4 linked regions of the Caenorhabditis elegans genome follow. The protein of the gene in region 1 interacts with the protein of each later gene in a pairwise test. Each region holds a gene or a part of one and is shown in the gene's direction. Other genes may lie near its edges. The genes, in order: gip-1, R06F6.8, fbxa-11 and rpl-32.

What was found.
Region 2: the proteins of gip-1 (region 1) and R06F6.8 interact in a two-hybrid assay, tested with the Caenorhabditis elegans proteins (one large-scale study listed by BioGRID).
Region 3: the proteins of gip-1 (region 1) and fbxa-11 interact in a two-hybrid assay, tested with the Caenorhabditis elegans proteins (one large-scale study listed by BioGRID).
Region 4: the proteins of gip-1 (region 1) and rpl-32 interact in a two-hybrid assay, tested with the Caenorhabditis elegans proteins (one large-scale study listed by BioGRID).

The regions. Positions count from the first base shown.
Region 1 is NC_003281.10:2,345,935-2,350,635, forward strand, and holds the start of gip-1 (Gamma tubulin complex component protein N-terminal domain-containing protein), read left to right. Parts: upstream 1-1,656; 5' UTR 1,657-1,660; coding exon 1,661-1,733; intron 1,734-2,702; coding exon 2,703-2,795; intron 2,796-2,844; coding exon 2,845-3,102; intron 3,103-4,312; coding exon 4,313-4,517; intron 4,518-4,701. Other genes in the region: phf-5 (PHD finger-like domain-containing protein 5A), read left to right, coding at 480-647.
Region 2 is NC_003280.10:10,813,943-10,821,615, reverse strand, and holds the start of R06F6.8 (Guanine nucleotide exchange factor subunit R06F6.8), read left to right. Parts: upstream 1-1,637; 5' UTR 1,638-1,666; coding exon 1,667-1,678; intron 1,679-1,730; coding exon 1,731-1,871; intron 1,872-1,920; coding exon 1,921-2,031; intron 2,032-2,081; coding exon 2,082-2,543; intron 2,544-2,597; coding exon 2,598-2,689; intron 2,690-2,769; coding exon 2,770-3,307; intron 3,308-3,434; coding exon 3,435-3,727; intron 3,728-3,823; coding exon 3,824-4,115; intron 4,116-4,713; coding exon 4,714-5,696; intron 5,697-6,090; coding exon 6,091-6,316; intron 6,317-6,365; coding exon 6,366-6,483; intron 6,484-6,531; coding exon 6,532-6,664; intron 6,665-7,299; coding exon 7,300-7,673. Other genes in the region: ech-4 (Delta(3),Delta(2)-enoyl-CoA isomerase), read right to left, coding at 1-483, 532-584. UniProt on the Caenorhabditis elegans protein: Probable component of a guanine nucleotide exchange factor (GEF) that may be required for efficient fusion of endosome-derived vesicles with the Golgi.
Region 3 is NC_003281.10:948,992-952,772, forward strand, and holds fbxa-11 (F-box domain-containing protein), read left to right. Parts: upstream 1-1,877; 5' UTR 1,878-1,890; coding exon 1,891-1,961; intron 1,962-2,086; exon of another isoform or gene 2,087-2,172; intron 2,173-2,203; coding exon 2,204-2,825; intron 2,826-2,869; coding exon 2,870-3,064; 3' UTR 3,065-3,273; downstream 3,274-3,781. Other genes in the region: fbxa-67 (F-box domain-containing protein), read right to left, coding at 372-581, 628-1,246, 1,313-1,396, 1,455-1,507; fbxa-10 (F-box domain-containing protein), read left to right, coding at 3,553-3,623.
Region 4 is NC_003280.10:9,055,954-9,058,810, reverse strand, and holds rpl-32 (60S ribosomal protein L32), read left to right. Parts: upstream 1-1,725; 5' UTR 1,726-1,730; coding exon 1,731-1,807; intron 1,808-1,899; coding exon 1,900-2,068; intron 2,069-2,118; coding exon 2,119-2,277; 3' UTR 2,278-2,314; downstream 2,315-2,857. Other genes in the region: chmp-7 (CHMP7 winged helix domain-containing protein), read right to left, coding at 2,367-2,489, 2,538-2,857.

The DNA.
Region 1 (4,701 bases):
GAAAAAGAAAAATATGGAAAAATTCAAATTTTCCACTAAAAATTGACATTATTTGCGGAAATTACCAGCTTTTCGGCGTAAAAAACGCTAAATTTGTCAGTTTTCCGCAAAAAATGCTCGAAAATCCAAAATTTTGTGAAATTTCTCTCAAAAAACGCGTGAAAAACGCTATTCAAAAAAGTGCAATTTTCAGCTTTTTTTTACTAATTTTTTCTTTAAAAAATTCAAATTTTTGACTGGATTTCTTCAAATTCTCCATTAAAAACGGGTTTTTACTCAGAAAAGAGGGGAAAAACCAGGAAAATTGAAAAATTTTCATATTTTTCGACTGAAAAATGCAAAATTTTGTGAAATTTCTCTCAAAAAACGAGTGAAAAACGGCAAAATTTACAAATTTTTCTAAAAAAAAATCGGAAAAACGCGAAATTTTCATGTTTTTTTTCGGCTAAAAATTAAAATTTCCATTTTTTTTTTTGCAGGGTCGGTGTGTGATTTGTGGTGGCGCTGGCGTCAGTGATGCATATTATTGCAAAGAATGCACAATTCTCGAAAAGGATCGTGACGGATGCCCGAAAATTGTGAATTTGGGAAGTGCGAAGACGGATTTGTTCTACGAACGAAAGAAATTCGGATCGAAAAAGTCGTAGAAATTGGCTTTTTGGCGGCGAAAATGAGCGAAAAATCACAAAATTTCGCCGAATTTTCACCTATATCACCTCTAATTTATCAAAAATGTTCCAATTTTCTGTTAATTTCCACTTTTTTCCGCTGAAAATTCCTATTTTTCTTGAAATCTGACTGAAATTTGGCTAAAAATGAGCTGGAAATATCGAAATTTGGCTGAAATCGTAAAATTCCCTTTTTGTTCCCTGAAAATTGAGCAAAAATGTCAAAATTTTGGCATTTTTGACCAAATTTTGCCTATTTTTGTGAAAATTTGCCTTTTTTTTTCGTTGTTTTTATCGAAATTTTGCTGAAATCGCGATTTTTTCCACTATTTTTCCCTAAAACATCCCTTTTTTACTGGAAATTTGGGCAACATTTTGGCATTTTTGCCTATTTTTGTGAAAATGTTACCATTTTATTGAAAAATTAGCTTAAAATGACAATATTTTCCTAAAAATTTCGAATTTCCGTGAAAAATAGCCAAAATGTCACTTATTTCAGTTAAAAATATGCCATTTCCCTGAAATTTGGCTGAAAATTCGCCTATTTTCACTTAAAATTCCGCAAAAAGCCCTTTTTTTCACTCAAAATGTTCAATTTTTCCCTGAAATTTGCCTGAAAAATCGATATTTTCACTCATTTTCACCTTAAAAATTGTCTTTTTCCCCCATTTTTTCCAATTTTCCTCTACCCTTTTATCAATTTTCGAATAAATTATCGATTTTTCTGTAATTTTTCCCTTTTTTTGCTGTGTTGTGCTGGTTTTGTTACCTATTTGTGTATATTTATCTCTATTTTTTACGGGAATTTTCAGTTTTCCCCGAATTTTTCTGAATTAAAATCACTAAAAATCGATTTTTCTTCCTGAAAATTGGGTAATTTTGCGAGAAATTTAATTTTTGTTTAAAAAAAAACTAAAATCTGAATATTTTTTGGAGAAAATTAACCAAAAACTTGAAATTTTATGAAAAAAAAATGGAAAAATTTCAGATAAATGCGTCGACAAGGCAGCGAAGAAGTTGAAGCTGTACAGCAATTTTTAAATGCTTTCGGGTTTCATGATAGAGGTAATTGGATTGAATTTTAGAAGAAAAAACACCGAAAAAGCCGAAAAATTGACTGAAAAATCGAATTTCTGACGAAAAAATGAGATTTTCCATAAAATATCAATAATTTCAAGTAAATATTCGAATTTCGAGGGGTACGGTAGCACCAAAAGTACGCAAACACTGTGGTACACCAAATCTTACGACATTTTGCAGAAAAACTCCTGAAATTATAATAAGAGTTCAGATTTTTTTCATCAAAAGAATATATTGGTGGCCGAACTCCTTGGATTTTTTTAGGCCACGATTTTCTGAGCCAAAAATTTTATTTTGAATTTTTCGTTCAAATCTCGTTTTTTACTAGAGAAACTCCAATTTCGGCTTTTTTTCTCTTGGTTGCCTAACTTTTTTTTTAGATTTCTAGGCCACCCATTAAAAATAGACCGTTTTATTTGATTTTCTACATAAAAACGGGGATTTTGAATTTTGAATAATTCAAATTTTAAAACCAAAATTTTAATTTTAAGTCTTTTTTTTTTTTGAGATATTTGAAATTTTCTAGACGGTTTTTTGGTGATGAATCGGTTTTTATTAGAATTTCAACTATAAAAACCGAATTCTAGTCAGTTTTTGGATTTAAAATCAATTGGTGGCCGAACTTGTTGGATTTCTAGGCTACCAAACTTCTGAACATTTTCCCCTGTGACTCTTGTGCCTCTATTCGTATTGATTGCAGTAAAAACGGGTATTTATTCACATTTTTAGCCTTAAATTGGCTTAAAATGTGAATAAATACCGTATTTCTGCAAACAATTTGACAATAGAGCACATTTGTCACTTGGAGATGCGGAAGCTATGCCCAAATTTTCATTTTCAAGCCGAAAAACTTGTGAATTTTCGCGATTTTTGCACAAAAAAAACCATTTTCAGCCGATTTTTCCGTAGAAAAACGGATTTTTAATCAAAATTTTGCAATTTTCTGTATTTCAGATGTGATAAAAGTTCAAGAAGGGCTATTCCACAGCCGTCAGCTCAACGATGTGAACGCTTCGAGAACATGTGTAGATCAATTTGTTAAGAAATGTATGAAATTCCAGGGAAAAAACCAAAAAAAAAAGCGGCAGTTTTCCAGGCGAACTTCGTGATCCGAACGGAATAAAACCGCTTCGCAAAAAAATCGATGCTCTGATGAACGAATCGGTAGAAATGAATTATATGATGGATTTTCTTGTGAGATGTCGACAGGCTCACTTATTTCATAATGAAACAATAAGAAATAGTCCGAGTATTGGTCTGGGATCCATTGGAGGTACCCCGACCAATTCGATTCCATCCTCATCGCCGTTTCAAAGAAGATCTGCAAGTCGTGGACGGGTGCTCAGCACGCTGAGTTCGGTGTTTTACCGGTTTTAGCCGCGAAAAATTGTGAAAAAACGGAGCAAATATCACTGAAAAGTCGATAATTTATTTGAAAATTGACATTTATTTTCATTAAAAATTCGAAAAATTAGACATTTTCGGTCAAATTTGACCTGAATTTTATAAAAATATTTTTTTTCTCCTTAAAAGTTGAAGATTGTGCTTATTTTTGTTCGATTTTCGAGAAAAAATGCTGAAATAAAACCTACAAAAATGTGGAAAATTGAAAAAAAAAAGTTTTTTTTTTCATTAATTTTCAATAGAAAAAAAAACGAAATTTTTGCCATGATTAAGTGGCCGAACTTTTTGGATTTCTAGGCCACCAGTCGGAAAACTCGGATTTTTAGAAATTTTTTATTAAATTTCTAATTCTCAAGCAACAATTATTGCGTTTTTTTTCATTAATTTTTTTTTAATTTTTGAGGCTTTTTTTTGGCGAAGAGTCGCTTTTTAATCGAATTTTGAATATAAAAACTGAATTCTATGTGGTTTTTGGATTTAAAATCATTCGGTGGCCGAACTCTTTGGATTTCTAGGCCACAAAATTTTTGAACTATTTTCCCCTGTGACTTATGTGCCTCTACTCGTTTTTTTTTGTTTGCACTAAAAACTGTATTTATTCACATTTTCATCCTCAAATTGGGCTGAAAATGTGAATAAATACCGTATTTCTGCCAACAATTTGACAATAGAGCACATTTGTCACTCGGAGATGCGGAAGCTATGCCCAAATTTTCATTTTTCACCCGATTTTTAGCATATTTTTGGGGTTTTGATGGATTTTAAGTGTTGAAATCGGTTTCAGCTAAGAAATTTTCGGTGACCGATCTTTATGGAATTCTAGGCCACCAAGCTGATTTTGAGCCAAAAAGCTATGCTCAAATTTTTATTTTCGCAATAAGATTTGCAATTTTCCATAGAATCATTCCACAAAAATCAAATTTTGAGCAAATCCCCAAACACTGTGGCCTAACTTTTTGCAAGTTTTTAGGCCACCCATTAGAACTTTGGCGTTTTTTCTCGAATTTTCTACAAATTTCTATGTAAAAATGTATTGAAATTGAGAAAAACTACAAATTCAAGCCTATTTTCGCTTTAAAAATCATGAAAAATCATTTTTTTTTAATTGGAAATTCACAGAAAATTGGCGAATTTTTCCATAAAACTAGTGAATTTTCCAGCCGGAGACCAACAAACTCCATCAATTGCCGATTCATCGTCTCGTTCTCGTGCCAATTCCTCATTTACTGCCTATGACAATCGAATGCTTGGAATGGAACGCCAATTGGCTGGAAATATGGCTCAACGGCCACGGAGTCCGTATACAATTAATGGAATACCAACTACGAGGGTTCAGCCGATTAGCGCCAGCAATCAGCTTTTTACGTGCGTAATTTTCGAGAAAATTTGAGGAAATTTGGTTGAAAATACCGAATTCACCGCTAATTTTCACCCCTAGCACACTTTTTCCGGGTTACTGTAGCTTTAAAAGTACGCCAACACCAGATCTAACGACATTTTTCAGAAAATCGCGAAAAAATGAGTTTTTGTGATTAAAAATGGCTCAAAT
Region 2 (7,673 bases), on another chromosome or scaffold:
GCAGTAATCACAGTGATTGAGGTGCTCTTGTCATTGTTGGAGACCTCCAGTGCCTTTTGAATTCCTTGATACATTTCCAATGTCAATGCGTTGAACTTCTTTGGTCTATTCAATGCGATTTTGAACACTTTTCCCTCGCGAGTCACACTTAAACCGTCAACGTTCTCAAGTCCTTCGATTGATGGCCCAGTTGGTTCTGGAGCAGCAGAAGCTTCTTCGGAAATGAGTCCACCGACCAGTTTAGCATAGTTGGCGCGAGCTTCATCCTGAGTTTGTCCCTTCAAAGTATTCCAGGCATCATACTTGGCTCTTCCAACGAAATCCATCATTCCCGGGCGTTTTCCTTGCACATCCCCAGCGGTGGCTTGTTTGAAAAGCCCGTAGAGCTGCAGTTTCACGTCATTGTCCGGCTCTTCCTTCAGAGTTTTCAGATTTTTCTGCGCCTTCTCGAAGTCAGCCTGGGCAGAGAACGAGCGAACGGAACTGAAATTGAAGATTTATTCACAAATTAGATGATTTTTGCAGACTTACACTTGCGGATTGTAGAGAACACTTCTAGCGGCGAGGGTGAGATTTCGAAGCATTCTGAAATGAATTAAAATTGATTTTTTAAACGTTATAATTAATTTTTTCGGGGAAAAGAGAAAAAAAGAAAGAAAATGGACAACGTGAAGAAAAGAACAAGGTACACGGAGGGGCCGGGTAAATGATAAGAACGGCCGCCGTCTTTTTGTTGTTTTGAATGAACTGGCTACACACAAGAATACACATTGTAATGTGTAGCTGGACAATCGCTACTATACGCAAGACAATAGTGGAGCAATTATAAATGGGATAAATAATAGATTCAGGAAAATTTGGAGTTTCAATTTTTTTAAAAGAGAGCTCAAATTGTATAGATAACCTGGAAATTAAGATTTTAATATTAGAAAAAACAGTGAAAATCAAATTATAATCCCTAGGAGTCCTAGGAGAAATCCCCTCCTAGGAGAAATCAGAAAACTGATAAATAAAATCAATAAAATTTGCAGACAAAGGACGTTCACGGCCAAGGGTGTCAGTGTCCTGTAAAAATTACAAAAACGGGACAACGGGAATTCTCGTTCCCGTGAAAATTTTAAAAACGGGACAACAGAATTCCCGTTCCCGTGAAAACACCCCAAAAACGGGACAACGGGACAAACGGGACACGGGAATTGACACCCTTGTTCACGGCAACTACAAAATGCACAATACTTTGTCTACAGTACTCTGATTCAATTGTTTTGTTGTTTTTTTTTGTTAATTCTTTTTTTTTTGGTGTTAATTTTATTATTTAAATATGAATTTGTTATTTTTCGAGTGAAATCATTTTCATCCACGCAATCCTGAACGCCTGAAATTTTTGAAAAGTCTGCGTCTCTGCCCTCTAACGCGTGGCAACCGAGCGCGATTGCTCTTGAAAAATATTCACAGCTGGAGGCCTTTTTATTCTGTTTGAAACGTTTTTGCGTTCCAAATACAAAATAAAATCAATCTCCTAATTTTTAAATCAAGATGTCGAATTGAATCTGCTAAAAATTGAACGCGCTTCTTTATTACTGAGCTTTTAATCGCAAAAAACCGTTTTCCCCCGAATAATTAATATTTTTCAACAGAATACAACATTTGATGGATCTGGCATAGAATGTTCATACCTGTAAGTTTCCTTTAGAATTTTTTTAATAAAAAATAATTTTTGAAAATTCCAGAATGACAGGCCATCGGTTCTCCAGCTTCCGAAGCATGAAAAGGATTCGACTGCCGCCGATATCAAGTCAATTGTGGCAAATCGAGATCGAAGATTGATAGCAGTCGCAACAAATGATGCGATTTACATTTGGCTGGCAAATGTTAGTGCTGAAAACTAATAAAAATCTGATTAAAAAAACATAAATTCAGCCCCAACTGCTCCTGTGCTCCGTCGGGGTTATCGATGCCAATTTCAAAGAAACACGTGGAGAATTAAAAGAAATTTACTGGAAACCTGACTCAACAAGTATAGCTGTAACGGTAATATTTAAATTTTACAGTTCTTTCTTTGAAAATATTATATTTTTCAGACAAATCAATGCAAAATTTTAATCTATAATCTAGATTTGCGAGACGATGAACAATGCTACAATTTCACAGACTCTGCGGATCCATATTTCCAACGAAACTCACCGGAACTTTTTATAAAAGGATCTCGACCGACAGCTCATCTTCATCCAACAATAATCATAAATCTGGCTGATATACCAACATGTTGTGTTCCTTCTCGTGATGAATTTCTTGTTTGCCTTCAAAATGGATTCACTCATCATGTCACTTGGACTGGAGAGATTATTGCAAGCCTCTCATTCCGTGCCAGTTCAATTCCGTTCTCCGTGGATCAACTTCAGTCGAAATCTGAAAATATTACTTCAAAATCCACGTATATCTTTGACGCCGTGTATGCTCCACTTCTCGGAGGATTTGCGATTGTACTTTCCGATGGTCAAGGTGCTCTATTGACGTCGAATGATCCGAATTTTGCACCTAATGTGAGATTTTTATCATGAAAAATTAAAAAAAAAACCCATTTTTTATTATTCCAGGCAATTCTGGGAGTGTGGGCTCCGAATATGAAAGATGCCACGTGTTGCGATGTGAATCACAAGTTCCTTCTGATTCTTTTTGGATGTAAAAAGTGAGTTTTTTCAGATTTTTCAGATTTTAATTTTCAAAAATCAAACGCACAGTTTTCTTTTTAATCTAAACTATTTCCAGCGGCGACGTTTGTGCCTATAACATCGATGAACTAAATGGCTCACTCGTTCAATCGTTCCGAGTTGCTCCAAAAGTAACAAATGGTCCTGACTTGACGAATCGACTGGGTCCGGTTCACCGAATAACAGCCCTCGCGAATGGATACGGATTCGGTGCAATTTGGTCTCCACTATCCGGAGCTCATGCTCTTCCTCGGCTCGTCGCAGTTTTCACTTCATTCGGAGCTCAATCATTTTGCAATCTGGAAGGTGTCGTCGAAGAAGATCAAAATGATAGATACACGGCTATTGAATGGGGTCCAGAAGGTTTCCAACTGTGGCTTGGAACTGAAAATGAGCTTATGATGCAACCATTCGTGAGGAGTGCTTCATGTTCAAGCCCGGCAATGGAACATTGTGATAGAGCTGTATTGATGAGTGACTCGCAGGTTTTGATCAGTGCTGCAAGGGATCGAGAAGCAGAAGCTTGTGCACCGCATTCTGTATGGGATCATATTACAGTTACACATGAATATCTATCATCTAATTGGCCACTGAGAGTGAGTTTTTTAAAAGTAAAAACTAAAAGCATAAATTTGGTAAAACCATGAGGTAGGCATGTAGGCACGTAGGTATTTTCCGATAGAGTTTATTAAAATAAAATGTTAAAATTTAATATGTTTTCAGTATGCATCAACTGATCGAAACTATAAACATCTCGTCGTGGCCGGTGATCAAGGAATGGCATATTGTTCATTATCCAATCGACGTTGGAAGATTTTTGGAAATGAGACTCAAGAGAAGAATCTCTTGGTCACTGGAGGTGTCTTTATTTGGAATGATGACGTCATTGGAGTTGTTGGAGTTGCTGCGGATACTGACAAGTCCCATCTCTCATTTTATCCAATTTCTCAGAGACTTGACAGTCGATATGCGTCGGTTGTGGATTTGGAGCATAAATCGGTCATGTCCGTGTTACGGTAAGAAATATTCAATCTTGGAAATGAACTCTCATTATCAGTTTTTTTGGAATTATTCTAGATTCAGTGACATTAATATTTTCCCAATTTTTCCAGCGACGACGTTTGTGCAGTATTCGATATATCGGCTCAAATTACGCTTTATAAGCTCACGGCTCACTTGGAAACTGGACGAGATGCTTTTACAAAAGTCTCCACTGAAATTGTGACTGTTATTCGAATCAACGAAATTGTTCCACATCCAACATGTATTGTATCTCTTCAAATGACACAGCTGAATCTGGATGTACGGGGGAAGTTGTCACCTGCATTTTATTCAAGTATCGATACTGTGCTGGTTAATATTTCGGGAAGATTGATCACTTTGAGTGTTAATGAGGATGGAAAGGTTTGTACGGAAAATTAAAATTGCATGGTTTCTGAGTTTCCAGAATTTTGCAAAATTTGATGAATATTTAGAATTTTTGGAATTTTTAAATTTTATATTCTTGTCCAATTTTTGGTATTTCAGAAATTTTTAAAACATTCTGAATTTTTTGAATTTTCAGAACTTCTAGAGTTTTCGAATTTTTGGGTTTTCTGGAATTTAAAAAAAATTAAAATATTTTGGAATTGAATTTTTTGTTTCGAAATTTAATAATTTTCAATTTTTAGAAATTTCAAAATTTTTCCGTTCCTAGATTTTTCAACATTTTGAATTTCAGTATTTTTAAAACATGAAAAATTTTTCCTTTTTCCTAAATACTCGGTTAACTCGGTTAAACTAATTTTTTTCAATTTTCAGAATTTTTCAATTTTGGAATTTTGCAAAATTCAGTTTCTTTTTAATTTTCGGATTTTTTAAAGTTTTGAATTTGTGAAATGATTCAAATTTAGACTATTTGAATTTTCTGGAATTTTGGAAGTTTTGGGATTTCTGAAATGTTTGGTTTTTAAATTAGAAATTTTTGGAATTCGGAAATACAATATTAAAATAAAATTTACAGCTCCATCAACCCATGGTAATCGCGTCATACGTGGAAAAAATGTGGCATGACCGTTGTCAAGTCTCCCAATCAACCCAGTCTCAAAATCAAGATCTTCCATGGAAGAACCATCGGCGAAATGGATCAAATGTTTCAATCCAAAGTGTTTCCACATCAACAACTTCAGAACCATCATCTCCAATGAATCAATCATGTTCTTCACATTTGAGTAATGCTTTATGGATTGCTTGTGGTGCAAAAGGAATCAAAGTTTGGATGCCGTTGGTGCCAGGAAAACGAAATTTAGCCACACAGGAAATGACGTTTATCGCGAAACGAATAATGCTTCCATTTGAACTTGATATCTATCCAATTGTGATTAGTGCCAAAGATTGTCTTGCAATGGGTGTCGAGAGTCAACTACAACATGTTGCAAGAGCTTCAAGAAATCAAGGACAAATGGAAAGTATCACTATGTATGGACTTCATCGCAATAGTGAAGTATTTGTGCATCACCTGCTCCGACAACTTTTGAAGCGAAATCTTGGAGTTTTTGCTTTGGAGCTCGCCGGAGCCTGTCGTTCTCTTCCACATTTCACGCATGCTCTTGAGCTTTTGCTCCATGGAGTCCTTGAAGAAGAAGCTACAAGTAGTGAACCAATTCCAGATCCTCTTCTCCCAAGATGTGTAGCTTTTATTCACGAATTTCCAGAATTTCTGAAAACCGTAGCACATTGTGCACGAAAAACTGAATTGGCACTTTGGAGAACGTTATTTGATGTCACAGGATCTCCAAATGCACTATTCGAAGAATGTCTACAACTGAAACAACTCGAAAATGCTGCAAGTTTCGTGATTGTCCTGCAAAATCTTGAAACCACCGAAGTGAGTATGGATCAAGCAGCGAGACTTGTGAAGGAAGCATTAGAAGAGAAAAAATGGACGATTGCGAAGGAAATGGTCAGATTTGCAAGATCTATTGGTTCGGAGGATATTGATGCATTGTAAGAATTAATGAATTCATTAATAGAGAAATTAAAAAAGAATGCCTCCAAAAAGAGAACGCACGGAAAAAAGATTCCCAGAATACATGTGCCCTACATCCGTAACTCTCCTTTTATCAAGCGAGGTATTCAGAATCAAGGTCACCGTTGTTATCGTATCCGTTTCACGCTACGATCCACAGAATCGGCACCCACTTTGAAAAATAATTAAATGTGTTCAGAAATAGAATAATGACCGAAACTAAGTTGAATTCGCAACAACGAATTATTAGATACCGTAATCCACACATTTGCATTTGAAAAATTGGCCGTGTCGAGACCGGCTACCGTAGTTTTTAAGCAAACAAAAATAAAATTTGATAATAACTTTGCAATTGTTTTAATTTTTAAAAAGTTTCAGAACACCTCCACCAAGTGCCAAGACTTCTCTATCCCGCCGACCTACAGTATCCTCACCGTCCGCTGATTCTTCCACTGAATTCGTGATTAATAGATTTCAAGCGGGAGCTGCTGGAGGAAGATTAAATAAAGTTCGACATTCACAGAGTACTGAGCAAAAAGATGCACCGAGAAAAGATTCGATTGGCGGAAGTTCAAAGGATAAAATGGCGTTGTCTTGGGTTTGTGTGTTTTACTGGAAATTTTTATTTTTATAAAATCTAATTTCAGGGCCTATCTGGTGAACTTTCTCCACAATTGGCTACGAATCGACTCGCCGCAAAAATGACATCAATTCTAGAAGATCACGCGTGGCATTTGCTGAATAATTATTGGCTTCTAGATCTTGGTAATTGGAAAAAAAAATTCAGGACAATTTGGATTCAATTTTTTTCAGGATTCTTCTGGTCCGAACTTCAATTCGATTTGCTCGGTCTTTTGGAGACGCGACGGAAACAAATTTCTCTTTCACCGAAAACTACAAACGAAAATTGCTTTTTGATTGAAGATTTTGCCTTGGCACTTACAAGGTAAATTGGGATTCTTCCACTGAAAATGTAATAATTCAGAAATTTAAAAATAAACTTAAATTTTCGAGTTTTCCAGTTTTTTCGAGAATCTGAAAATCGAAAAAAAAACTTGAAATTTAATACTAAAAAATTTAAATTTTTAATTATTCCGATTTTTCGTGTTTTTCAGAAAAATGATACATTATACGGAAAAAAAATTTTTGATTTTAAATTTCCCGTTTTTTTTTTAATTTTTAAATTCTCGGAAAAATTGGAAAACTCGAAAATTTAAGTTTATTTTTAAATTTCTGAATTGTTACATTTTCTGTAAAAAATAATAATTAAAGAAAAAACACGAAACATTTTTTGGGGGAATTTTTAAAATCTAAAATTATTGGAAAAAAATGCAAATTTTATCTTTCAAAAAAAAAAAACTGAAATTTTGAAAATCGAAAAATTAAAAAAAATTTTAAGCGTTGTAAAAATATATGAGAAAAACCCAGAAGCTAAATATTAACCAGAAAAATGTAAATTTTGATGAGAAAAAATTATTGAAAAACTATCGGAAATTTTGAATATTCCTTCGATTTTGTCGATTTTCAATAAAAATTGGGAATATTTTTAATATAAAAAACTCTAATTTCAAAAATTTTCAGACTCCATGCTCAATTCTCGTGGCCATATCCTCTCATCGGTTCTCAATTCGTGCATCAAATTGAGAAGAAGCTTGGAAATATTCGTGTCAGCCAGAGTACTGCAAGCTTGAATGGACTACTAAATGACTCATTGGATAATATAAAGAAGCCTAAAGCCAGAAAATTGGAAAGGACTGTAGTTGATTTAAATGGAGCTAGATCGAGAATTCGTGAAACGGATATTGAAGCTAGCGAAGAAGACGTTGAGATTCAAGAAGCCGTGCTGGAAAGAGTACGTGGAAGTGCTGTGGAACTGGCACCAGTAATCGATAGATCCCCATCGACATCTTCTTCAATGAATCATCATGCTCCATTGGCTCCACCGTCACCTTCAT
Region 3 (3,781 bases), 1.4 Mb from region 1:
AAACACTGAAGAATATTGACAACTTCATTGGGCGCGTGATAACAAAAAAACCTTTGGTCCAAAAAATTTATAATTTAATTTCGGACATTCTTTATATGCATCACAAAAAAACTGGACCAACCGATTTGAGATCCACGCACCCAAACGTTTAGGTATACGGTACAGGTACCACTTCTCAGGCCGTGGATGAGGCTAGACGACATGCCTATTGACTGCCTATTAACTGTTTTGCAGGGCGACTGGTGGTTGCCCTTTCTCACTTCTTTTGCTTATCTTCTTGCATTAAAATCATATTTAGCTAAATCTAAATTTAGATTTTTTATTAATCAATTTTTGACAGGAAATTAAATGACTTTCGAAATTAATGTTTTTCACAATTTGTGCATGTCAAACCGAGAACTAGAATTCCTAAAAGAATTGAATTGAATTTTAAAGTTTGCATTATCGTTTGAGTAGTCAATTTCAAACTCATTGCCGCCATCATAGTCCGGTTTGAACACTTTTGCAATTTCAATTGGATTTGACTTTGATGTGTCACAATATATCTGGCAACCTTGAAATGTACTTCTTCTCATTAGATCCTGAAAACATTTGATCATCAATTAAAACGCTTTAATTGTAACTTACATCTCTAATTTTGATTGCAATATATGTTGGAAAGTCGTCCAGTTGGATCTGGAACCATTGAAAGTGGAACAGATGGTCAATTAGTTTATTTTCAAGCTTATCACCAAACAGACTGCATTTTTTCGCACATTTCCATTGATCCAGATGAGCAATATTTTCAAACTGCCTGTTTATGTGAGTATCCCACAATGCAATGCTTTCCAGAACTTTGGTGTTACAATACTGGAGAATAGTGATGACATCATTGAATGAGAAATTGACAAGTTTTATTGTCTTCACGTGAATACATTTAACTGATTTCAAAATTTCAATAAATGATTTGATAATCTCGTGTTCATTGTGCTCGTTAGAAATTCTTAATTCCGATGTGTGCTTCAATACTGTTTTTAAATCTTGGAATGCTATTTTCATAGAACTTGCTCCTTCGATAGGTGTTTCTTGATTTTCGTCCTTTCTCACAGTTGAACCTCCGTTTTCTGCATCGGTGTATCTGATGTGAAATCCGTCCATCCCCAATTCGAAGGCATTCTTCCATATGTGAAAAATGATGTAATTAAAATGAATTCCAAATCTATCAACACAAGTTCGCAAGTTTCTACACACTTTACGGATTTTCAAACTGCAAGAAAAAACTTTTTTTTCAACTGGGAAACTTTGAAAATATATTTTTAAAAAAACAACTCACCGATCCATGGGCTCCAACTTTTCCAAAACTTGATCGACGATATTTATTGGCATATTGTAAAGCGTCGGGGATATTGGGCCGAAACTGAAAAACAAAACCATTTTTCAAAAATTTCCTTTTTTCAAATTCATTTTTTCATTACCTTCTATGGATCCTCGCCAGTTCATGTTGAGCATCTCGGTTGGAATCAGACATTTTCGGAAATTTATCCGAAAATTCCAAGGTTTACAACTGAACAATCCAATTTGAGAAAATAACTTGTGTATGACACAATGAAATGCACAGAATCAAATAAAAAATTAAGGAATAGCAAGCGTTTATCAGTTCAAACAAGTCTGCAATTTGTCGTCAAATCATGCGCCTGCGTACACTTTCTTTGCTGGCAAAAGGAGAATGATTTGAATTGAAACGTTAATGTTTTAGACCTAGCAATATTATTTTCGAAGCCTAAAAATGAGAATTTGTAGTAGCGAAATAAACATTTACCAGTTTTTTTTTCTTTTTTTCTCCCATTAGCATTTTTTCTCTCCCAGCTGTTCTACGTTTACCCTATAAATTTTTGCAGGCAAATTTCAAAAATGTCTACTTTGCTGGATATGCCTGTAGAAATAGGCAAACTAGTTTTGAAACGCATGAAGCCCGTGGAACGGTGAATTTTTTCAGTGGGTTTTCAAAAATACATAAATAGAAGTTTAGGAAGCCTCACGGACTCTCTCTCTACTTTCTTGTTCCCTTTAAGCCTAAGCCTAACTTAAGCTTCAGTCCAAGCCCGAGCTAAGCCTAAGTCTAAGCCTAAGCCTAAGCCCGAATTTAAGCCTAAGCATAAGCCTAATCCTGAGCCTAAGCCTAAGGCTAAGCCTGTAGTTTTCAAATAATTTTTTATAATTTCAGACTGGTCTGCCGAAAAGTGTGTAGAAGCTTGAGAACCGCGGTGGACAGTTTTGGAATTCGCTTCAATAGTGTTTCAGTGGATTTGTATGATGATTATGTTTTAATGGACTTGAACGGATTAAGCATCAAATACAAAAGTGAAGAAAATGGGACCTCTGCTGTATATTGCAATGGGAAACGTATTGCCAGGGAAGAAGATTATTTGAAAGTAGCGTTCGAGGATTTAATGGCAGTAATGGACCAAACCTCACAATTGTGCTTCAGAAACAAAAGAAAAGAGCTTCTCAACAGCATAACCTCCGTTACAGACATTTTGAAAAATAAAGAAAATCTCTGCGTGAAGGAAATATTACTTAACACATTTTCATTTGATGATGCCTTGCTTATTCTTCCGTGTTTCAATGCTCAAGTCCTGGAAAGTATCGAGTTATGGGAAGCTGCTCCGATTGACCATTGTGAACGGCTCACCGGCTTGGACCAGTGGAAAAATGCGAAACGTTTCCGAACTCACGATTCTCGGTTCCAGAATGAAAAATTGCAAATTGGACAGTTGTTTCATTTTGAAAAGTTTCAAGTCGAATTTGATAATTTCTCAATTCTAGACGTTACGAAAGTCAAAGAGGTAAGTTTTTAAGTTTTAAGTTTTGAAAAAAAATTGACTTTCAGGATCTCTTGAAAAGAAGCGAATTCAAAGAATGCTCTCTCATAATTGGTAGGTTCGATTCAACGCCGTTCAAAATTGCACAATTATTCAAGCCGGATGTTGCTGAAGACATGAAATATGAAATCAAATATTCCGTGGATAATAAAATATTCGTGATTTTTATTAATAGACAAGTGTTCTGCTGTGAGCTTATGTAACCTTTTCCCCAAATTTTTTTATATTACGAATCTCATAATTATCAAAACACCCACATTCCACACTTTCCTGGCAAAATATTTGATCCGATCCTCTTTTCCTCACTATCACTGAAAACCTTTTATTAAAAAAATCGCGTTTTTTTCTCCACTCGCATTTTTCCATTAACTTGTATTTTTCCATAAGTTTATTCATAAAATCTTCGCTTTTTATTTGCTTTTTCCATTATACACTACATTATACATTATACACAAAAAACTAATATTTCAATAAGAAAGAATAAAATTCGTTATTTTTGAGATGTCGTCAACTCAAGTGCCGAGTACGCAATAACACAAAACGTGACGACACAATGCACAATATGGGAATTTTATAGCTTTCTTACCAGGAATGGGCAGCAATTTCTGTTTTGGCAATTGTCGAGTTAGCGAAACAAGTTTCAAAATTTTGAAAATTTTACTGTTTCTAAAATTCCAGATATACTTCAAAAATGCCTGAATTGTTGGATATGCCTTTGGCATTGGTTAACCAAATTCTGGAAAAGTTGGATCCCGAGGACCTGTGAGTTGTTTAATCTATTTTTCTGTAGTTTTCGGAAGCTTCACAAAATCTTTCTACTTTAAAAAAACTTTTAGTAATTGATTTTATTTCTTTAGAAGTTCGAGCCCCGTGGGCCAGGCTAAGCCTAAGCCTAGGTCTTAAAGGGGGCTTAGGTAAGC
Region 4 (2,857 bases), on another chromosome or scaffold:
ACAGATTCCACCTTTAAGTTTTCAAAAATCTAATTTTTTTTGTGGTGTTTTATAATCATATTTGATGATTTTGGATTGTTTTAAGAGTATTAATGCAACTTCACCACTTGGGCTACATCACAATTAAGTTGATCCGATAGGAATTTTTTTAACCGAAAAAAATTGGTTCAGACGGTTCAGTGGTTTCGAATCCCAAAATCAGTTTCGGGATTGATTTTGCCAAAAGCTCGAAAACTGGAAAATATTTTGTAATTAATTGAGTTTTTAACTCCGTTTTTACCACTTTAGTTTTAAAAGATCAAAAAATTGGTAATTCACAAAACATTGTCCAAACATTTTTAATTTTACAATTTACCAAAACCTTGGCTGATTAAAGGATTAAAGGACGATCTATGCACTGCGGATCTGGGATTCAGGTACACTGCCTGGTGGTGATCCCTCTGGGCTGTAATTTAAGCCACGTCCTAGCCGGGGACTGTGGCCGATAATACAGTCGTGGATTGCTCCACTTCCCAATAAATCTATTAATAGAGGCTGGGTGAACCTAGAGGGTGAGGCCGAACTTGAACTCGTGACCTCCAGATTGCTAGCGGCCACCACTACCGACTGATCATATATGAGCTATCTGACCCCCGACCCTAAGTTTTGAAAAATGAAGAAAAAATTGGTAAATTACAAAAACTTCGGTTGGAAATTTTGAGTTCTGGTAGATTGCCAAATTTTTAGAGTTTTAAATTTTAACGGGTTATATCCTCCAGGATATGATCGAAATATTTGGTTTTGTTTCAATTTTATCATTGATAAAATACATATGATTGCAATTTAAATTTTTTTTTGATAAATGAACACGAATAAGTTTATTAAAATGCATAAGTTTATTAAAAAATGAAAAATCGTCTGAACTTTCTGAAAATCAACTATTTAATTACAGTACTGCTTGTCCGAGAGGAGTACGTGTGATTGTCCGAGAGGAGTAAAAGAATTTGCGCGCTAATTTAAAATTAGATAGACATAGATAATTTTTACCAGGTTTTGGAGCCCCAAAACTCCCGTTGGACAAGTTTTTTGTGATGTTTCGCTTTTTGCACATTCTAAAAAAAGCCTTTCAAAATTTACGATTCAGAATAATTATTTCTTTTTAAATCTGGTATTCTCTTAAAAGTATTCCTACTCCCTGGTGGGAAGAATTATACTAATTTTATTATGAACATTTTTATTTTTTAAGTATTTTTAACATTATAAATGTTTCCTCATCGCTGAAATGTTTTAAATTGCAATTAATCGGCTGCTGAAAACAACTCACGGATTTTTGCAGAAAAGTGGGAGGCATCAAGTGCGCTCTAGCGCACCACACAAAACGTTGAATACTCAGCCAACGACCTTCTCAGCAGCGAAATTGGCAATTTTTGCATTCTTTTTTGGGATCTTTTCGCTTTTTTCTAACTTTTTGATGACTTGTTGCTCGTTTTTCCCCAATTAATTCTCCAAATTTTGATAAAAACTCATTAATTCTGCTGAAACTCCCTCAAATTTTTCAATTCGATCAATAGTAGGACAAGATAATTATTTTTTCGGAAAATTTATATTCACTGCAAATTTATCGCTAGTCTCTCTAGTATTCACAATGTTTGGTTCTCACATATTGATTTTTAAGCGTTCAATTGATCTCTCTGTTTTTATCCGCTAAAGTCGTTGAAAATGTGGTTTAATTTTCGTTCTTTTCGGGTAAAATGGTGCACGTTTCCGGAACCAAGGTCAAGGTCGTCAAGAAGAAGCTCACCAAGTTCAAGAGACATGAGTCCGACAGGTAAATAATTTTTGAAGCACCTACTCATTAGAATTGAAAAGCAGAGAAATAATGGATGCTAACAAACATCAAAATCATACAATTTTTTTTAGATACCGTCGTGTAGCCCCAAGCTGGCGTAAGCCAAAGGGAATTGATAACCGTGTCCGCAGACGCTTCCGTGGTATGCGTGCCATGCCAACCATCGGTCACGGATCCGACAGAAGAACCCGCTTCGTCCTTCCAAACGGATACAAGAAGGTTCTCGTCCAAAATGTTAAGGTTAGTTTTAATGAACATTTTTGATGTTATTTAAAATTTGAATCTTATAGGATTTGGACATGCTCCTCATGCAGTCCTACAAGTACATCGGAGAGATCGGACATGGAGTCTCCGCCAAGAGCCGCAAGGGAATCGTCGAGCGCGCCGCTCAGTTGAACATCAAGCTGACGAACGGAAACGCTCGTCTTCGCACTGAAGAGTCGGAGTAAATTTGTTGATCTTGTTATAAACTTGTTTTGAAAAACGTTTTTATTTTCAAAGTATGAAAAAGAGCAAAATATTTATAATATGGAAGGAATCAAATAGCTTGTCTGAGTCTAGCTAGGCGTTTTTCCAATTGATCCTCTTCTGGCGTTACTTCTTTGTCGAAAAGTCCGAATCTGTTGGTTGGAGCTTCTGGGAGATGCACTGACTCATTTTTCTGTAAAACAACGAACTTTTTAATGATTGTGGTTCGTACTAAAAATACCTTGTTGTCACTGATAAGATCTTCCAACTCCTGCTCTAAGTCGGCATCATTAAATCCATTAGCATTAACAAACGGAGACGAAATTGCTTCTTCGATTTCCTTGTACTCGTCCATTGAATTAACGACATCGTCCATCGTCTCGTGTATTTTATCAGGAGACAATCCTTGCCTCGCCAATGTTGCTTTGAAAGCAGCAGTTCCAGATTTATAGGCCTGCAGAACGTCCTTGTTGTTTTTTGCAGAAGAAATTTGATGAAGCATTGTGAGCAGTTTCTGATACTGAACATCTTTGTCAGCGATGTCTTTTTCGGCACGCTTTC